4 linked regions of the Macaca mulatta genome follow. The protein of the gene in region 3 interacts with the protein of the main gene of each other region in a pairwise test. Links are inferred from orthologs where the notes say so. Each region holds a gene or a part of one and is shown on either strand. Other genes may lie near its edges. The genes, in order: POGZ, NFIX, QRICH1 and CRX.

The links.
Region 1: the proteins of QRICH1 (region 3) and POGZ interact in binary tests that used the Homo sapiens proteins (3 or more experiments, as listed by UniProt). The two-hybrid records come from large-scale screens. The link is inferred for Macaca mulatta from reciprocal best matches to the Homo sapiens genes QRICH1 and POGZ.
Region 2: the proteins of QRICH1 (region 3) and NFIX interact in binary tests that used the Homo sapiens proteins (3 or more experiments, as listed by UniProt). The two-hybrid records come from large-scale screens. The link is inferred for Macaca mulatta from reciprocal best matches to the Homo sapiens genes QRICH1 and NFIX.
Region 4: the proteins of QRICH1 (region 3) and CRX interact in binary tests that used the Homo sapiens proteins (3 or more experiments, as listed by UniProt). The two-hybrid records come from large-scale screens. The link is inferred for Macaca mulatta from reciprocal best matches to the Homo sapiens genes QRICH1 and CRX.

Annotation. Positions count from the first base shown.
Region 1 is NC_133406.1:115,623,339-115,628,442, reverse strand, and holds the start of POGZ (pogo transposable element with ZNF domain), read right to left. Parts: upstream 3,160-5,104; 5' UTR 2,860-3,159; exon of another isoform or gene 2,768-2,859; coding exon of another isoform or gene 2,748-2,767; intron 1-2,747. UniProt on the Homo sapiens protein: Plays a role in mitotic cell cycle progression and is involved in kinetochore assembly and mitotic sister chromatid cohesion.
Region 2 is NC_133424.1:13,593,868-13,598,945, reverse strand, and holds the start of NFIX (nuclear factor 1 X-type), read right to left. Parts: upstream 3,644-5,078; 5' UTR 3,589-3,643; coding exon of another isoform or gene 3,578-3,588; coding exon 3,503-3,577; exon of another isoform or gene 3,471-3,502; intron 3,202-3,470; coding exon 2,670-3,201; intron 1-2,669.
Region 3 is NC_133407.1:112,478,562-112,483,180, reverse strand, and holds part of QRICH1 (transcriptional regulator QRICH1), read left to right. Parts: intron 1-1,632; coding exon 1,633-1,810; intron 1,811-2,330; coding exon 2,331-2,485; intron 2,486-4,619. UniProt on the Homo sapiens protein: Transcriptional regulator that acts as a mediator of the integrated stress response (ISR) through transcriptional control of protein homeostasis under conditions of ER stress.
Region 4 is NC_133424.1:60,315,735-60,320,884, reverse strand, and holds the start of CRX (cone-rod homeobox protein), read right to left. Parts: upstream 3,434-5,150; coding exon 3,334-3,433; intron 1,607-3,333; coding exon 1,455-1,606; intron 1-1,454. UniProt on the Homo sapiens protein: Transcription factor that binds and transactivates the sequence 5'-TAATC[CA]-3' which is found upstream of several photoreceptor-specific genes, including the opsin genes.

The sequences.
Region 1 (5,104 bases), on a different chromosome or scaffold from region 3:
ATATTACAGTCCTTAACCACTGATATCATAAGGGAAGTTTTTTAAGTACTAGGAAGCTGTCAAACTCCAGCTGTCAACTTTTTAAAAATTCTAATTTTCACCCAAATTTTATCACTGGTAATAAATACTGTCAATTGTTTTCCTAAAAGTGACAAGCTCACTTCATTTTCAAGAAATACCTGCCAAATACTAAATGTGAAAAACCACAGTTTGCCAGTCGCATGGTACTCCATGAAATAAGCCACTCACAACCCAATCCCACAAATGCTTTTCCCTCATGACAACAATCACACCTCCGTAGGCAGCATAAATGCTTTATCCATGTTTATTTCATCACAAATTCTTAAAAATTAAAAAGACAAGTAGTCAAAAGCTAAGATTTAATAACAACAGGCGGGGCACGGTGGCTCAAGCCTGTAATCCCAGCACTTCCGGAGGCCGCCGTGGGTGGATCGCCTGCCATCGAGTTCGAGACCAGCCTGGCCAAAATGGCGAAACACCATCTCTACTAAAAATACAACCCGGGAGGCAGAGATTGCAGTGAGCCGAGATAGTGCCACTGCACTCCACCCTGGGCGACAGAGCAAAACTCCGTCTCAAAAAGATAAAAATACAATAATAAATTTTACTGCTTCAAGGGCATTCTCAAGTAAGCAGTTTGGTGCCACTGACTTGCTTTGTGCTAAGGTACCGTCAGTAGTTTTACCCAGCATTGCTTTTGAACCATCAGCGTATCAGTGAAAACAATAAATAGCATCTTACTATTATTTTGAAAATAATTATGACCTTGAGGCTCCCCTGAAAGGGTAAGAGGAGATCCCCACAGGTCATCCGCCCACACTTCGAGAACCGCTTTCCTATATTATACCACTAGTTCAAGATGGGAGTGGAAACTCTAAATCACGTTCGTCCCAAGAGTCCATGTACCTCCTTAGTTTGAGATACACCAACACAGCTCTGGAAAAGGGAAGGAAATCAAGGGCACAAGGTGTCATTTGTTTCAACATCTTGAACACTTTTATGTTAGACCAGTAATTTTCAACGTAGTGGTCACATTAATCAGCCTCAGCCGCAGGACTGCTCATTTAAAACTGTAGAGATGACAACTCCCCTCTGCTCCATTCGAATAAATTTGGGGGATGAGGCTCCCCCAAATTGTACGTTTAACAATCTTCGAGTTACTTTTTATGCACCCCGAAGTTGAGAATGATTGTACTAACAGTTCGAATTCAGAGTTTAAGCTCTCACACCCTGAGCAATGGTGTCTCGAAATTAATCGTTTGCCAAGGAGCAGCCCTCCCTGCCCCCTCCGTTTCCCTTTCCTCTAGTTGGGTAAATGCCTACAAAAGTAAAACCCCGGCCGGGAGCGGTGGCTCACGCCTGTAATCCCAGCACTTTGGGAGGCCAAGGCGGGCGGAGCACCTGAGGTCAGGCGTTCAAGAGCGGCCTGGTCAACGTGGTAAAACCCGTCTCTACTAAAAATACAAAAATTAGCCGGGCGTGGTGGCACATGCCTGTAATCCCAGCTACTAGGAAGGCTAAGGCAGGAGAATCACTTGAACCCGGGAGGCGGAGGTTGCAGTGTGCAGAGATCGTGCCACTTGCACACCAGCCTGGACGACAAGAGTGAAACTTAGTCTCAAAAAAAAAAAAAAAAAAAAGTAAAACCCCATTTCTGTGGAGTCTTGAGCTGCGGTGAGAGGTGTCCACGGGCTTGGAGGGACGGGCTACACCGCCTGCATCAAGACAGCGGCTGCTCTGAGATAGTCCAACTGCATCTTAATTTCCATTTTGAAAATGAGACTGGCCACCAAATGACTCTGAGGACTCATCAGCACTACCTTTTTCTGAACTAAGAATGTCCAAGACAAGTGCTACTAGCAGTTTGAGAGAATCCCACATCTGGAGAAGAAGGAAATCAGAACACGCAGAAAGAGGGAAAGCAAGTAGATTAATGACAGTACTCCTTTGCAAAAGCTGCCAAAAATCTAAAGAAAATAGTCCCCGGGATAAACATGGCGCCCACCGCGGCAGGACATAATCACCAGAAAATAGAGATTCTCCGCCCCATCCCATTTGATAAATCACGGCGCCATCCCTAAAGAAATTTGGGGGCCGAGGGAGGAGAGTTCGTAAACTAGCTGCAGTGCACTAAGGCTTAGGATGTACTATTAGACCAAGGAGAGATTACATAACAAGGCATCGGCTCAGCAATCACTCATTTTCCTCCTCCCGCTCAAAACGAGCGCCCCACTCCTTCTCCGAGCGGGGACCGGGCGGGGAGGGCCGCGCACCCCCACCCCCAGGGGCCGCTCCGCCGCCGCCCGCCCCCGCCGCCGCCCGGCCTCGCCCCCTCGCCGGCCCCTCCCGCCGCGCTTCGCCGTCTCGCCGCCGCCCGCGCCCCCGCCCCTTCCCCAGCGGGCCACCGCCCGCGCCCGCGCCGCCCACTCCTCCGAGACGCCTCGCGCCGGGCGTGCGTGTGGACGTCGGGCTGTGTGCAGGGCCGTGGGGCGCGAGTGCGCGCGCGCGCGCCGCGACGGGCGCCAGGGGGCGGGGGTGGCCGGCCAGCCGGCAGGCAGGGGCCTCCGCCGCCGGCCCTTCGCGCAGCTCCCGCGGCCCGGGGCACACGCACACACACTCGCGCTCGCGCACCGCGCCCTGCGGCCGCCCCTGCCGCGGGCCGCGCCGCCACTCGCGGTGGGCGGGGGCGCGCGCCGCCGGCCCCCCGCCCCCACCCCCGCGCGTACCGGCCCCATCCCCCTCTCATTGTCTCGCCTCGGAACGCCTCGCCGAGCGAAAAGATAACGGAACCCCCGGGAGCAGGGGGTGGGGAGAGAGAAGGCTCGCTCGCTCACTCACCTCCCGTGGTCGTCGCCGCCGGTAGTCTGACCCGAGAAAGGCGCCGTCGCCTTAAAGGGACCTTACACCCGGCGCCAGAAGGGGGTGGGAGCAGGGAGGGGACAGGGGCTTGGGGGGAGACGAAGAAGAGGTAACCGTTGAAAGCTCGTCTCCCCAAGGGTGAAAGGAAGCCTCCCTCGGGTTCGAGTGATTTGGGGTGGATTTTTTTCCCGAGGGGGGCGGGGGGGGCCCCGAGGGAGGGGGGTGGGGGGGCCAAGGAATGCGGCTCCGTGTACGGGAGCTGGCGCGGGGGAGAGAGACGCCGACTCCCCCCACCGACCCTCTCGCCCCGCGGAGGGATACGGCTCGTCACTTCCGCCCTCCCCTTTTTCATGGCCTCCCAATTGGTCGGAGCGTGCTGCACGTCATGGGCTCATCCAAACCCCTGCCCGGGCTTCTTTTCTAGTCAAGTTTGGCTGGGCCTGCAAATAAATAAATAAAGGAAAATATTTTTTATAATGAAAAAAGAATAATTAGTTTCAGAAGCTGTATCTAAATTTTGGTGAGAAAAATGAGACTCCCAAAGAAAATATTCCCCAATTTACTTGCCTAGAGTTTCCAAGGAAGTGTTGGGAGGCTCCCCCACTTTCCACTCAAGGCTTAGACCCAGTCAAGAGGAGGACTTCATGATACAGGCCAGGTGGTGAGGCCCAGTGGCACCAACAACTGTCATTGGAACAAAGAACAAAATGGCACTCACTCTTTCTCAAGAGACACTCGGCCAAGTAGCCTTGTGGCTGTGGCCTTGTTTAAGTGAAGAACTTTTAAAAGCCATTTTGATCCTCATGCCCTTCTGGATCCTGGAAAGAAGTGGCACACGATTGTTAAAGCGATTATTGTGATGGAAACTGCTTTGCTTCCATTGTGACTAGATTCAGCAGAGATCCCCAGTTCTAAGAAACCACACACACTCCACATCCTTATGCTTTTTGCTGCAATCAAGGCTGAGATGGGTTGGCTCAAAGAAATTGTTTGGTCCACTCAAACGACCATCCACCTGTTTATTCTTCCCCAAACAAAAACTACCTCTTCTCAGGTAGCTGAGAAATTTTGTCCTTTGTTGCTTTCTGAGATTATAAAAATTAATATTTTCCTTGAATATTTGAAAATGTTTGCTATTTAAGCAATACACAAATGTTTGCTTCAAACCAAGTACTTGGTGCAGAAAGGGGAAATCCAGAATTATGTTTATTCGTTCTCTTTATATACACACTCCATTCGAACCACCAGACTGTGAAAATAGGCAGTGGAAGTAGGCATTCCAAATTGTATGCACCTGCCCGTGCACACACACATACACACACTGTGCACACACACATACACACGCTGCCACCACCTAGCTTCATTACATTTCATACCAAAACCATGTGAGTGATTTCCACTAGTGTGGGATGCTTAGGAAGGACTTCATTATTTGACTGAGAAGAATCCCTATCCTTCTGAAAATACTTCTGAAGACTTACCAGACCTGATCTGGAGAAGCAAGCCCATGTTAAGATTCTAGGATCAATCACCAAAAGACTATATGAAACTCAAATCCTATTTTATGCTGTCGTGTAATTACTTTAATTCATTATATATATCTACATTATGTATATTACATTACGTATTATTAACCTTTGAAAAATTCCAACATATTTTCCCATGCTCTGTCAATTTATTCTCTCAGCCAATGAGATCTAGCGCAGACTATGCCATATACCGTTGACCAATGACCATTAGCATGCTTTATTGAAAGTGGATCAGGCCGGGCGCGGTGGCTCAAGCCTGTAATCCCAGAACTTTGGGAGGCCGAGACGGGCGGATCACGAGGTCAGGAGATCGAGACCATCCTGGCTAACACGGTGAAACCCCGTCTCTACTAAAAAATACAAAAAACTAGCCGGGCGAGGTGGCGGGCGCCTGTAGTCCCAGCTACTTGGGAGGCTGAGGCAGGAGAATGGCGTAAACCCGGGAGGTGGAACTTGCAGTGAGCTGAGATCCGGCCACTGCACTCCAGCCTGGGGGACAGAGCGAGACGCCGTCTCAAAAACAAAAAAAGAAAAAAAAAGAAAATGGATCATGCATCCATTCATTCATTCAATAAATATTTATTGGGAGCTGGGCATGGTGGCTCACACCTGTAATCCCAACACTTTGGAAGGCCAAGGGAGGAGGATCACAGCAGTCTGAGGCCAGCCTGGGCAACTTTGCAACATCCCATCTC
Region 2 (5,078 bases), on a different chromosome or scaffold from region 3:
GTCCCCAGTTTATCATCCTGGAAGGAAGGAGCAAGTGGCAACTCTGCTGAGTGTGTCTGGCAGGCATGGGCATGGATAAAGTGGTACCCACAGATCGATGCTGTTTGGTGGCTCAGCCACAGAAGACATTTTCTAGCAAAGTGGGCCAGCTCAAGGAGGAAGTCATGCCTGTTCTGCTCCATCTCAAGACCACCCAACCCAACTCCAAAGAGGAACAAGTGATGCGGCCCACTGGTGGCCCGAGCTGCACCAACTTGCCCCAACTCACTTCAGGAAGGCACGCTCAAACTAAAGCAATTCCAGTGAGAAAAATCCTACCTTCACTGAAATTATCTGGAGTCTGGGGCCTGAATAATATAGAATACACCCTTAGTTCCCTACTCTGCTTTTGTAGAGGAGACTCGGCCTCAGCCCCAGCCCAGAGCAGTGGCCTTGGGTACATGGAATGGGGTATGAATTCGCTCATATTCCTGGGCGAATGATCTCATAAGCTGGCAGGGAGGCATGGGGGGCCTTTCTTCTGGCCAGGAAACGGTCTCCTTCCTCACATACTTTTCATCCTACCTTAGCCCCACGCTGGCAGCAGTCAAGAATCTGGCCTAAAATAAAAGAGGCCAGGGAAACAACTCGGCTACAAGGATCCAGTCAGAGAGCGGGGTTGGAGGAAGCCAGCTCAGAGGAAGATGAGTGTTGATTTTCATCTTAGATGCTCTCGAGCCCCTGGTTCTAAAATTGGAAGGTGCAGAATCCCCTTGTGCAGGAGTACCTGATGGCCACGCTGGTAAGCTCGAGGCTCCGAGCCTTCTGCAAGCCACCAGCCACCTCCAATACTACCAGGCACACACCCTCCCACTTTGGCTTGCTGTATAGACAGAGAATGAGGGGATAACTTTTTTTTCCCTCTTAGTCTCTTTTCCAAAAAAAAGAAAAAAGAAAAAATTCAAGATGAAGGGAGGTGGAATGACTGGCCCCTGGCCCTTCAGCATGACGGGTCACGATGGTCACACAGGGCCGGGTGCAGGCCTAGAAAGATCTACAGAAGTAGGTAGGGACTTGGGGGGTGAGAGTGGTGTCCCCTGCTTCTAACCAGTTACCAAAGCAACCTCTCAGGACAAGAATTCCAATACCATCTTCTCCTCTCCACAGTTCTCCAACATATAAACTCAGGGCACTCTAATCTAGATTACATTCCTGACGCAGTGCTGAAAGCACCCCCAAACCCAAATTTTATTTCTGGATCCAGAGATATCATTCCTCCCAACTTCCCAAACAGGCAAGGGGGTGACCATAGCCATTGTGAATTGCTTTTCTTTTTTGTGAATGGGCAGGAAGGAAGACACAGAGACACACACTCGCGGGAAACAACCTTTGCGAGAGTTGAAGTTAAGCCACATTCTCTCACATTCGCATAAAGAGAGGAAAAAGGGAAATGAAGGGGAAAAAATACTGGAATGGTGGAAAGGAAACACACACACACACACACACACACACACAGAGAAAGGTTTGGTAGCCCTCTCATTACAAGTTGGTTGGGCATAATGTAAACACACTTCTGCCTTGCTTAATCACAGAGTGCCGCCCGTTTAGGTTTCAAAGGCGGCAGTAAATTGGGCGTAGCTGAGTGGAGGCTAAAAATTAACCAGCCATCTCTGTTTCAATTTGTAAGAAAACAAAAGCGGAAAGAAATTATAAAAAGGGAAAGGGTAAGGGAAAAAAAGGAACAGAGGAGGAGAACTAAACCACCCTGACCCAAAATGCAGGGTAAAACTGGAAAAGCGAAGAGGAGAAGCAGAACTACTTGGAACACAAAAGGAAAAGGAGATTTTACAGAGTTTTTTGTTTGTTTGTTTGCTTAAGACCTCTTCCACAGCAGTGCTGCTCCCTGCCATGCTTGTGCCCCGAGAAAGCCTCTCTGCTCCCCAGCAGAGTGCCAGGGCTGTGGGCATCCATCCTGAGGCCTTGCCACTTTAGCTGAAATAAGGAGAAGGGAAAAAGCTCAAGGAATCTCGTGCTTGTTTTCACTCTCTATGAAATCAAATTACTTTCATACTCTCTGACAGCCAAATCCCAGCCAAACAGCTCCCGCCTGAGTATTTAGGCTGCAGAATCTGCCCACTACTGTCTTCTCTCCTCTTTTCTGTTCATTCAGTCGCATCTCCCGGGGTTTCACATGCCCCTTCTCTCCACCAACTCCTGCCCATCCCGCTTGTACCAAAACCAGTTTTTCCTGGGACTGGAGGTGAAGCTGCAGGAAAACTAGTACCTGCCCCTCAATACTTCTTCTGACTCATTTTAATAAGAGCAAATATTGGTGTGCTGTTGTTGTTGTTCATCTCAAACTCTCACCATCATGGATAATTCTGGGGGCATCATGTCCCCAATCCTAAGACCTGCAGCATCTTTCTGATCAGATAAGTCCTCCAACGATGGAAATGCACAAAGTCAATAACATGGCCAGGGAGCAGAGGAGGAAGAATGGAGCAGGCTGGGGGAGACAGAAGACAGGAAAAAGGAAAAGGGCCCATAGAACGTGTTGCAGGCCCGGCAGGACGGGCATACACCAGTTAGGCCCGCGGCGAGTTATCGCTTGGAAATTAGAGAACAATAAACAGAACAAATGCCAGCAAGTAAAATAAAATGAGGGGGAAAAATGGTTGAGAACGACCTACCCGGAGTGTGGACAAAGTAAGCCAGATAAAGATCCAGTTCTTTGATTGTGACTCCAATGTGATGTGGCTGGACGCACAGGCCGGGGTTCGAGCACTGAGGCGACTTGTAGAGCCGCTCCCCATCAGTACTTTCCAGGGGGATCCCCTTAAACAAAATCACCATGACCAGGTCCAGCCGCCACACCTTGTCAGCCTGGCGCAGGCAGTCAATCCGCCGGATCTTGCCCTTCTGGTCGGGGTTGGAGAGCACGCAGCAGGGGGGCTTCTTGCCCGTGATGGTCAGCACGAAGTCCTCGCGGAACTCGGGCCGGATGTCCTTGCGCAGCTTGGCCAGCAGCCGGGATGCCCACTTCTGCTTGATCTCGGGCTTCTCGCCCAGCAGCTCGTCCTTCACCGCCCGCTCCTCGTCCTTCGACATCCGCTTTTCATGCTTCTTGAAGTACTTGCGCTTCCGCGCCTGCAGGTTGAACCAGGTGTAGGAGAAAGCGCGGACGTGAGGCAGCAGTGCCTCGATGAACGGGTGGAACTCATCCTGCAGGCGGCAAGCCGGGAGCATGCGGGGCGAGGGAGGACGGGAGGAGGGGAAGACGGGATGAGGGGGAAAGAGAGAAGGAGAAAAGCAGCGTTAGAAGGGGGGGCACAAGGAAAACCGCCTTCTCCTCCTCCTCCCTCCCCCCAACAATTTTCTCTTGCAATTGTTCTACAAAAGTGTGGTTTGAAGCCACCACCAGCTTTGCCAGCCACTTGCTCCCATCTCAGCCTCAGCAGCCAGACAGAGGCACCGGGAGCCTGTACACACACCTATTCTCTCTCTCTCTCCCTCACTCACTCACACACACGCGCACAGACAACGTTGCCGTCCACACACACACGCTGCTGGTATCCCCGCCAGGCTCTGTCGCGCCCATGACATCTCCATGTTCTATCGCAGCCGTGAACTCCTGTCAGCTCGCCCCGGCGCAATGTCCGTCTGCACAGACGCCCGTGGACGCACACGCGGGGGCGTGCGGGGCCGCCTCTGGTCCCCGACACCGGTCGATTTTTGGCCGCCCCCAAGAAGAGAGAAAATGACATCCACGAGCAAGCGAGTGAGGAAACAGATCAGGCTTCCCTCTCCCCAGGCTGTTTTCATTTTCTTTTCTCCTGATCCAGTTGGAACATCCACCCCAGCATTTTTTAATCAGACCTAAATCCTAAATATGTGATTTCAGCTTTGTTATCGACACCAATACTAATGTTAATCACAGTAATAATGAACAAAACACTTCTTGTTAGCACAAATAAGGTGCTTGTCTCGGCCACATTAGGGTTAAAAGCTACATGGGTCTTCTTGCGACCCCTTCCCCAGCCTCCCACAACCCCTTCACCCTCTTTCCCACTCAGTCAGGTGACAGAAGGATGGGCTCTCTCGGTTTTGTTTGTTTTTTTTTTTTTTTTTTGGTTGTTTGCTTGTTTGAAGTTTAAATAATAATTGATTTCTGTTTACAAAAATAAAACTGGAAAAAATTAAATAATTACCATTGATCTGAAGCACCCGGCAAAGCCCAACGCCCGATTCTGAGATTCTGGACTCAACAGAGTTGTGAGTTGGGGGCGGGTGGGGGGAGGGGGGAGGAGGAGGAGCAGGGGAGGAAGGTAAATGTTTTAAAGGGGGTTATTATTGGTGTTCTGGGGAATAGGGGCTGGGCTTGGGTGGATTCTCAAACCCTTCCCCCTCCTCCCCCCCCCATGCTCCATTGCACAGAAGGGGGAAATTAATATTTTTTTTGAAAAGGAGCAAAAAGAAAGAAAGGTCAGGGATAGCAAGCAGAGAGAGGGAGCGAGCCGGTTGCCACACACGCCAGGTAAACAAAAGCCAACAAATTTTTTTTCAATTTCTTCCCCTGTGCATCCTCTTCCAGTTAAAAAAAAAAAAAAAAGAAAGAAAGAAAAAAATGCAAAATTTAAAAATCAAAACCAGCCTCCCACCATCTCCCCGCAACCAACAACGCACCCCACCCCACCCCCGTGCAAAACAAAAACAAAAACAAAACCCAGGAGGGAAAAAGCGGCAGCTGAAGAAAAAGGCTTTCGGCTTTGGCAGCGGCACAGGGGTGTAAACTTCGAGCTGCCTGATCGGAGGAAAAGGGGGAGCTCGCAGATTCCCGGGGAAGAGGACGAGTTCTGACCGGCTGCAGACCGTTGCTGGCAGACGCGTGCAAAAGAGAGAGAGGGAGTGAGGGAGGGAGGAAAGGAAGAAGGGGGGGAGGGAGAGATCGAGGATCGAGGGAGGACGTGGATGGGATGGGGCGTGTGTGTGAGTGTGCGCGTGTGTGTGCGCACTGGTTGGGTTTTGGGGTGTTTTTTTTTTTTTTGCTTCTTTTCTCTCTCTCAAACTCCCTCTCTCTCTCTCCTTTCAGGCTCAATCCC
Region 3 (4,619 bases):
TGGTGAAACCCCGTCTCTACTAAAAATACAAAAATTAGCCGGGCATGATGGCAGACACCTATAATCCCAGCTACTCGGGAGGCTGAGGCAGGAGAATGCCTTGAACCTGGGAGGCCGAGGTTATGGTGAGCCAAGATCATGCCACTGCTCTCTAGTCTGGGTGACAGAGCAAGACTTTGCTCAAAAAAAGAATTTCAAAAAGTAGGAAATTGCAAAGTTGGGAGTCAAGACCAGCCTGACCAACTTGGAGAAACCCCATCTCTACTAAAAATACAAAATTAGCCGGGAGTGGTGGCACATGCCTGTAATTCTAGCTAGTTGGGAGGCTGAGGCAGGAGAATCGCTTGAACCTGGGGGACAGAGGTCGAGGTGAGCCGAGATCCCGCCATTGCACTCCAGCATCCAAAGAACAAGAGCGAAACTCTGTCCCTGCCAAAAAAAAAAAAAAAAAAAAAGAAATGCTGAGTCTCAGATCCCACCCTTTTCAATCACAATATACATTTTGATATAATCCCCAAGTGATTTGTTTGCACATTAAAGATTGTGGGGGCCGGGTGCAGTGGCTCACGCCTGTAATCCTAGCACTTTGGGAGGCTGAGGCAGGTGGATCACCTGAGGTCAGGAGTTCGAGACCAGCCTGGCCAACATGGAGAAACTCCGTCTCTACTAAAAATAAAAAAATTAGCCAGGTGTGGTGGCACACACCTATAATCCTGGCTACTCAGGAGGCTGAAGAAGGAGAATTGCTTGAATCCGGGTGGTGGAAGTTACAGTGAGCTGAGATTGTGCCACTGCACTCAAGCCTGTACTACAGGAGCGAGACTCCATCTCAAAAAAAAAAAAAGAAAAAGATTGTGGAAGCAGTGCTTTGAGCCAGTAGTTCTCAGTGGTGACCAAACATTAGAATTACTTTTTTACTCAAGGAGTTCTTTTGTTTTGTTTTGTTTTGTTTTTTATTTTTCCGAGACAGAGTCTCGCTCTGTCACCAGGCTGGAGTGCAGTGGCGCAATCTTACTTGAGGAGTTTTTATACGATTGATACTTTGCTCCCCCTCAGAGAGATTCTGGGGTAAGTCTGGCTATTAGTGTTTTTAAATAAAAGATTTGACCGGGCACGGTGGTTCACGCCTGTAATCCCAGCACTTTGGGAGGCCGAGGCGGGCAGATCACCTGAGGTTGGGAGTTCAAGACCAGCCTGACCAACATGATGAAACCCTGTCTCGACTAAAATTATAAAATTAGCTGGCCGTGGTGGTGCATGCCTGTAATCCCAGGTACTCGGGAGGCTGAGGCAGGAGAATCACTTGAACCCGGGAGGCGGACATTGCAGTGAGCCGAGATTGTGCCATTGCACTCCAGCCTGAGTGACTAGAGCGAAACTCCGTCTAAAAAAAAAAAAACATTTAAAAGTGCAGACAAAGCTGAGAATCACGGCACTAGCCCAGTTGCAGTGCTGCTTTTGCTGTCCCTGGGGCAGGAGGTAGAACTGCAAAGCTTCTTAAAAGTAGGACAGCAAGGAGTAGAGAAATATTTTCTTAAATAAATGAACTACACATAACAATTTTCTGGCAATTTTGCTGAAGGATCTAATATAAAACACTATTGACACATTTTCATGGTTTCTTTCCTATAGGCTCAAACTGTCCAGGTTGCTGAAGTTGAACCACAGTCACAGCCACAGCCTTCCCCAGAACTTCTGCTTCCAAATTCTTTGAAGCCAGAAGAAGGGCTTGAAGTATGGAAAAACTGGGCCCAGACCAAGAATGCTGAATTAGAGAAGGATGCTCAGAACAGATTGGCACCCATTGGGAGTGAGTGTCTGGGAAGAAGAGTGGGCTCTGTCTAAAATGCAGTGGTACTGAAGTAACAGGAGGACAAAATGGCAGAAAAGTGGTATCCCCTGTCTGGGGGAAAAGAGAGCAACATCTGTAATAGTATGTTGAATTCAGTCCTAGCAACAAGCAGTACTGACCCTGTGTACATAATAAGCAGGATGTGTGGGGTTTGCGCAAAACCAGGCATTTTTAGACATACGGGTTTCAGGAGTTGACCCTACCAGACCTGAACACAGTGGCTTCTGGGAGGAAATGGGAACCAGGTAGTAGGCACTCACTCAAGCCCTTCTTTCTTGGCATTAGGCTCATATACTCACATGATAGGCCAGTTCTGACATTACAGGCGTGAAACATTACAGTAGATACAAGTGACCATTTCTGTCCCAGCACCCTCATGGGCAGTATGTGTTCTGAGCCTTCCAGATATGGACCCCCAGGACCTCTATTCGTCCTGGGTTGCCAGGACCTCCATTCATCTTTGGGGCTTTCGTTGCAGGGCGCCAACTGCTGCGATTCCAGGAAGATCTCATATCCTCTGCTGTGGCAGAGTTGAATTATGGGCTCTGTCTAATGACACGGGAAGCTCGAAATGGAGAAGGTGAACCCTATGACCCAGATGTGCTCTACTATATTTTCCTGTGTATTCAAAAGGTAGGAAACAGATCTTCATGAGAACATGTTTGAGCTGTGTTCCTGTTGGATGTTTGCTAGTTTAGTTAATGACAAACAAGAAGTTAAAATAAGGAAGTTCTCTTTCAGGTATATAATGAGTTTTAAAATGCACATTTTTTTAAGTTTTAAAAACGTACATGTTCACTTTAGAAAATAAGAGCCGGGGCCGGGCGTGGTGGCTCACACCTGTAATCCCAGCACTTTGGGAGGCCGAGGCGGGCGGATCACAAGGTCAGGAGATTGAGACCACGGTGAAACCCCGTCTCTACTAAAAAATTACAAAAAATTAGCCGGGCGCGGTTGTGGGCGCCTGTAGTCCCAGCTACTCGGGAGGCTGAGGCAGGAGAATGGCGTGAACCCGGGAGGCGGAGCTTGCAGTGAGCCGAGATCGCGCCACTGCACTCCAGCCTGGGCGACAGAGCGAGACTCTGTCTCAAAAATTAAAAAAAAAAAAAAAAAAAGAGGTCGGGCGTGGTGGCTCAAGCCTGTAATCCCAGCACCTTGGGAGGCCGAGATGGGCGGATCACGAGGTCAGGAGATCGAGACCATCCTGGCTAACACGGTGAAACCCCGTCTCTACTAAAAAATACAAAAATCTAGCCGGGCGAGGTGGCGAGCGCCTGTAGTCCCAGCTACTCGGGAGGCTGAGGCAGGAGAATGGCGTAAACCCGGGAGGCGGAGCTTGCAGTGAGCTGAGATCCGGCCACTGCACTCCAGCCTGGGCAACAGAGCGAGACTCTGTCTCAAAAAAAAAAGAAAAGAAAAAAAATAACAGCCAAGCGAGATGTCTCACACCTGTAATCCCAGAACTTTGGGAGGCTCAGGCAGGAGGATCGCTTGAGCCGCAGGAGTTTGAGACCAGCCTAGGCAACATAGTGAAACCCCATCTCTACAAAAAATTAGCTGGGTATGGTAGTGCGTGCCTGTAGTCCCAGCTGCTTGGGAGGCTGAGGTGGGAGGATTGCTTAAGCCCCAGAGGTTGGGGCTGTAGTGAGTCATGATTATGCCACTACACTCCAGCCTGGGTGACAGAGTGAGACCCTGTCTCAAAAATGAAAAGAAAAATAATTAGCCGGGTGTGGTGGTGCACACCTGTAGTCCCAGCTGTTTGGGAGGCTGAGGCAGGAGGATTGCTTGAGCTCAGCAGTTCGAGGCTACAGTCAGCTATGATTGTGCCATTGCACTTCATTCAGTCTGGGCTGCAAAGCAAGACCTTGCCTCTTAAAAAATAAATGCATAAAATAAATAATAAAATAGGAAAACAAACATTATTCATCATCCTACTACCTAGAGAAACTTCTGTTACATTATTGGTAATTACCTTGACCTTTTTTTGTGTGTAATTCACAAAGCATTTATGTAACACTTTTCTTTTTGTTAAGGTAAACCTGATTTTCATGAAAGTAATTTATTCAAAACAAAGTCTTGTGCCAGCATAGAACTTTCCTTCTCATTGTTCCCTGCATTAACACTAAATACTTATTTGAAGGAGTCTAGCTAGAATAATATACCAATGTAGTTAGGTTTTCAGGACATCTGTTGTGAAGCATAATGGAAATTTGCAGACTGGCAGTTCAAGGGAGCAGAGGTGGATATTTTAGTGCTTGAAGGCTTTTGAGGAGAAATCACAGTATAGTAGAGTAGGGCTTACTGGTTGGGACTCATTCTGTTGGCCTAGTCTTGAGACATGTCTGCCTCCTAGTTTTTTCCTCTCTCGGTGGTCCTAACCTAAGTACTGTGTGAATTGCTTTACATGCTTTCATTCTGTGCTCTCCCCAGTCCTGGAAGGCAGATACCATCATCTCCATTTACAGGCAAGGAAACTGAACCCCAGAAATTAAAAGACTTGCACATGTTATTTAACTTACACAATATCTAATGGAAGACTGACCCTAGAGCCTATTCATGATTTTTGCTAACACAAAACAATGCCTTTCTTGGGTGAAATACCATTCACAACATCTGCCTTATTTACCCAACTCTCAAGAATGTCATGAGAATCAGTCACATGAGCTTAAGCATACTATGGAAGTGTCACATGCTGGTGCCTTAGTTTGTCGAGGTGTGAATGGGTAGGGAAGGATAGTAGTACTGGTAGAAAAATATATTTATT
Region 4 (5,150 bases), on a different chromosome or scaffold from region 3:
CTCATATATACATAAATACACCAATCCAGCCGGACACGGTGGCTCACATCTGTAATCCCAGCACTTTGGGAGTCCGAAGCAGGTGGATCATGAGGTCAGGAGTTCGACACCAGCCTGACCAACATGGTGAAATCCTGTCTCTATTAAAATACAAAAATTAGCCCGGTATGGTGGTGCGTGCCTGTAATTCCAGCTATGCAGGAGGCTGAGGCAGGAGAATTGCTTGAAGCCAGGAGGCGGAGGTTGCAGTGAGCCGAGATTGTGCCATTCCAGCCTGGGCGACAGAGTGAGACTCTGTTTCAAATAAATAAATAAATACACCCATCCATCCATCCAATCATGCATGCATGCATGTATACATACAATTGTACATGTGTACATACATCATGTATACATATATCATGCGTGCATACATTCGTCATCTATCTAATCATACCTACATGCGTTCATACAAACACACATATATAAATGTATCCGTCCATCATACACACTAGACACTCATATATGCACATACATACACTCATCCATGCTTCCAGTCATACATGCACACACACATATACAGTCACACATACACATTCATCTCTGCATCCACCCACCCATCCATCCATCCGTCTATTCAGTCAATGAACAAACATGCATTAACCATCTTCTGCTACTCTTGAGGGTCCATCAGTGGAATTGACATTCTAGTTGGGAGAGACAGAGTCTAAATAAACGGACTCTGAGATACCTTACATAAACTGTATGAACGTATGATCATATGAACATACAAATATACAATTATAGGCACATACATTGTACACACATAACATCATACATAGCTATGCACTAATGTATCTAATCATACATACATACAATCACATAAACACACATACTTCATTTATCCTTCCAATCATACACATGTGTGTAGGCACATATACGTAACATCATACCTGCAGCCTACAAACATATGCAACTGTATGGTATCTCAGAGGGCGATAGATACAAACACACGTAAACTGTATGGTATCTCAGAGGGCGATAGACACTGTGGAGGAAACGATTGAGCGGGATAGTGGGCAGCAGTAGAGTCAGGGTCTTGGGGAAATACTGCAATGTTAAATGCTGTGTTCAGCATGGGTCTCACTGATAGATAAACAAAGACTCGAACAAGGGGCCTGCTGTGTGGTTATCTGGAAAATAAGGATTCCAGATAGAGGAAACTTAGTGCAAAGGCCCGAGGCAGGAGGGTGCTTGGCAGGCAGGTCAGTGCCCGGCGCGGCTGGAGAGGAGCGAGGGGCGATGAGAGCCTTAAGAGGCGGTCAGTGGTATGGTGGGGAGAGGAATTATTGTCTCCTTGATAACTTTGGCTGTCACTCTGTGATCGCTCCCTCCTCCCATCACTCTGAGTTCCAGGGAGGCCCCTGGAAGGTCACAGGAAGGGTCGGGAGGGGTCCAGGGACCCTCCACCCCACCTGAACCCTGGACTCGGGCAGATTGATCTTCAGAGCCACCTCCTCGCGGGCATAGACGTCTGGGTACTGGGTCTTGGCAAACAGTGCCTCCAGCTCCTCCAGTTGGCTCCGGGTGAAGGTGGTCCGCTCCCGCCGCTGCTTCCTGGGGGCGCCTGGGGTGGGAAGGGAAACAGGACCCTCAGGTCATCCACCATGGGCTGATGTGAGGCCCTGAGGCTGGGTGGGATGCCAAGAATTCCATCCCGGTTGCCATCTGCCTAAACTAAGGATGGAATGCACATTCCCTGCCCTTCTACGCCTTCCTCTGTGCCTGGCACTCTGTGGCTCCTGCCTGACCCCAAGGGGAATTGGCTTTAACTCTATGAGGAGGTATGTGAGTCGTTTTCCCTCTTCTAAGCTTTCTCATGCACTAAGACATATTTAGTTGAAGCATGACATCGCTGACATTCAACCATTTCTAGCCTATAAAAGCAGCAAGTCTGGGCTGGGTGCGGTGGCTCACGCATGTAATCCCAGCACTTTGGGAGGCTGAGGCGGGCAGATCACAAAGTCAAGAGATCGAGAACCAGCCTGGCCAACATGGTGAACCCTTGTCTCTACTAAAAATACAAAAATTAGCCGGGCGTGGTGGCTCCCAGCTACTCGGGAGGCTGAGGCAGGAGGATCGCTTGAACCCAGAAGGCAGAGGTTGCAGTGAGCTGAGATTACGCCACTGCACTCCAGCCTGGTGACAGAACGAGGTTCAGTCTCAAAAAAAAAAAGAAAGTAGCAAGTCCACACCGCTCAACGTAATGCAAAAAACAAAAACAAAAACAAGAGCTAAAGAATAATGCTACAAATAACTGAGTGCTCACTTCTCTTAAAAATAAGGCTTTATGAAAATTAGCTGGGCATGGTGGCATGTGCCTATAATCCCAGCTACTTGGGAGGCTGAGGCAGGAGAGTCACTTGAACCTGGGAGGCGGAAGTTTCAGTGAGCCAATATTGCACCATTGCACTCCAGCCTGGGCAGGAGTGAAAGTCCGTCTAAACTCCATCTCAAAATAAATAAATAAATAAATAAGGCTTTGCAGGCCAGGTGCAGTGGCTCATGCCTGTAAGCCCAACACTTTGGGAGGCTGAGTCAGGTGAATTATTTGAACCCAGGAGTTTGAGATCAGCCTGGGCAACATAGGGAGACCCAATCTCTACAAAAAAAAAAAAATTAATTTTTTCTATGTTTTGTATAATCCAGATCCTGCACAATCTACAAAAACTTTAAAAAGTTAGCCAGGCATGGTAGCGTGCACCTGTAATCCTAGCTATTTGGGAGGCCGAGGCAAGAGGATCGCTTGAGCCCAGGAGTTCAAGGCTGCAGTGAGCCATGATTGCACCATTGCACTTCAGAGTGGACAACAGAATGAGACCCTATCTCAAAAATAAAATAAAATAAACAAAGCTTTGCTGCCTAGGCACAATGGCTCACACCTGCAGTCCCAGCTACTCAGGATGCTAAGGTGGGAGGATCGCTTGAACCCAGGAGTTTGAGGCTGCAGTGAGCCGTGACCGTCACCACCGCACTCCAGCCTGGGCGACAGAGTGTGAGACCCTATCTCTGAAAAATAAATAAATAATAAAGTTTTGCTAACAGATGAAAATTCCTCTTGATTCCCCTTCCAAATTACATCTCCTCTTCCCCACCCCAAAAGGAACCTCTGTCCTGAATTTCTAGGACTGCACATGTTTTTCTAAGTGACATGCATTTCAGATGAACCCAGAGGGCTGGTATATGGCCCTGAAGTCGCCCCTGTGACTGCTTTTTTCCTGGGGCAGAGGGACCCCAGAGGTCCTCTAAGAGGTGAGGCCAGCCTGGGGTGCCGAGAGAAACGACTGTACTCACTTGGGTAGGGCACAGCCTGGTGCATCAGATCCACGCTGGGGCCACTTAGGGCCAAGGCGTTGACAGAATAGTGAGGCCCCGGGTTCATATACGCCATCATGATCTTCGGGGACGCTGAGGCCCAAGTCAGGGGGCCTGCAAGAGAAGAGGAGGGATGCTCACTCACTTACCAGTTACTCACCATGGGGTGACAAGCAGGCTGAGATTCAAATCCTGCCTTGGTCTCCTCTTAGGTACGTGACCTTGGCCATTTATCTCACCTCCGTACCTCTGTGTCCTCACGTGTAAAATGGCCTCTGCTTAAGGTTCTCAGAGCTTTCTTGAGACTCTGCAAAGCAGAGAGCTGAAGTGATGACGCGCCTCATAAGTGCGAGCTCTTATTCCTACTCTACCCTCTAAAACAATCTCATCCTGGCTGGGCACAATGTCTCACATCTGTAGTCCCAGCACTTTGGGAGGCCAAGGCGGGAGGATCACTTGAGCTCAGGAGTTTGAGACCAGCCTGGGCAATATAGCAAGACCCTGTCTCCAAAAAAAAAAAAAAAAAAGTGTTTTTTAAAAAGTTAACTGGGTGTGGTGATGCATGCCTGTAATCCCAGTTACCCAGGAGGCTGAGGTGGGAGGATCACTTGAGCCCAGGAGTTTAGGCCTGCAGTGACCTGTGTTCAGGCCACTGTACTCCAGCCTGGGTGACACAGCAAGACTCTAAGAAAAAAAAAAAACCAATCTGATCCCGTAACACTTCCTCATCCAAGATCCCTTCTTTCTGTGACCATGGGCAAACACGCTCAGCCTCACTTATAACCAAGGACTGCAGGTTGACCAGCCATCCCTCTTTGCCCAGAATGGAGGAGAGGTGGCTGTATCTTGGAACATAGGACTTTCAGGCTAGAACCAGAATGGTCCCAGCCAAACTGGATTGGTTGGTCACCCTAAGGGAGAGTGGCATTAAAAAAGGCCAGGCAAGGTGGCTCATGCCTGTAATCCCAGCACTTTGGGAGGCTGAGATGGGCGGATCACCTGAGGTCAGGAGTTCAAGACCAGCCTGACCAATGTGGTGAAATCCTGTCTGTATTAAAAATGCAAAAATTAGCCAGGCGTGGTGGCCCACGCCTGTAATCCCAGCTACTCGGGAGACTAAGGCAGGAGAATCGCTGGAACCCGGGAGGCGGAGGTTGCAGTGGGCCGAGATGGCACCACCGCCCTCCAGCCTGGGCAACAGAGCAAGACTCTGTCTCAAAACAAAACAAAACAGCAACAACAACAACAACAACAACAAACTACAGTAAGGACCAAGAAAGGCATCTCACACCTGCAATCCCAGCACTTTGGGAGGTCAAGGCAGGAGAATCACTTGAGCCCAGAAGTTCAAAACCAGCCTGGGCAACATAGTGAGACCCCCATCTCTGAAAAGAAAAAAAAAAAAAACAGTGAGTGTGGATCTTCCACGATCACTTTTGACCTATCAGATTGGCAAAGATGAAAGAGGTTGATAACTTCCGGCACTGGGGTCAGTGTGGGGAAAGACGCACTCCCATGGCAGGTAGGTAGCAAGCAGTACAGGTTGCAACAAACTTATCGAATTAAAATGCCATCTTTCTTTTCTCCTAGTAATTCACCTTCAATGTATACCTCAGTCGCCTTGTTGGAAAATGGGAATGAAAATCGCATTTATGGGCCAGGCGCAGTGGCTCACACCTGTAATCCCAGCACTTTGGAACACCAAGGCAGGCAGATCACTTGAGGTCAGGAGTTTGAGATTAGCCTGGTCAACATGGTGAAACCCCGTCTTTACTAAAAATACAAAAATTAGCCGG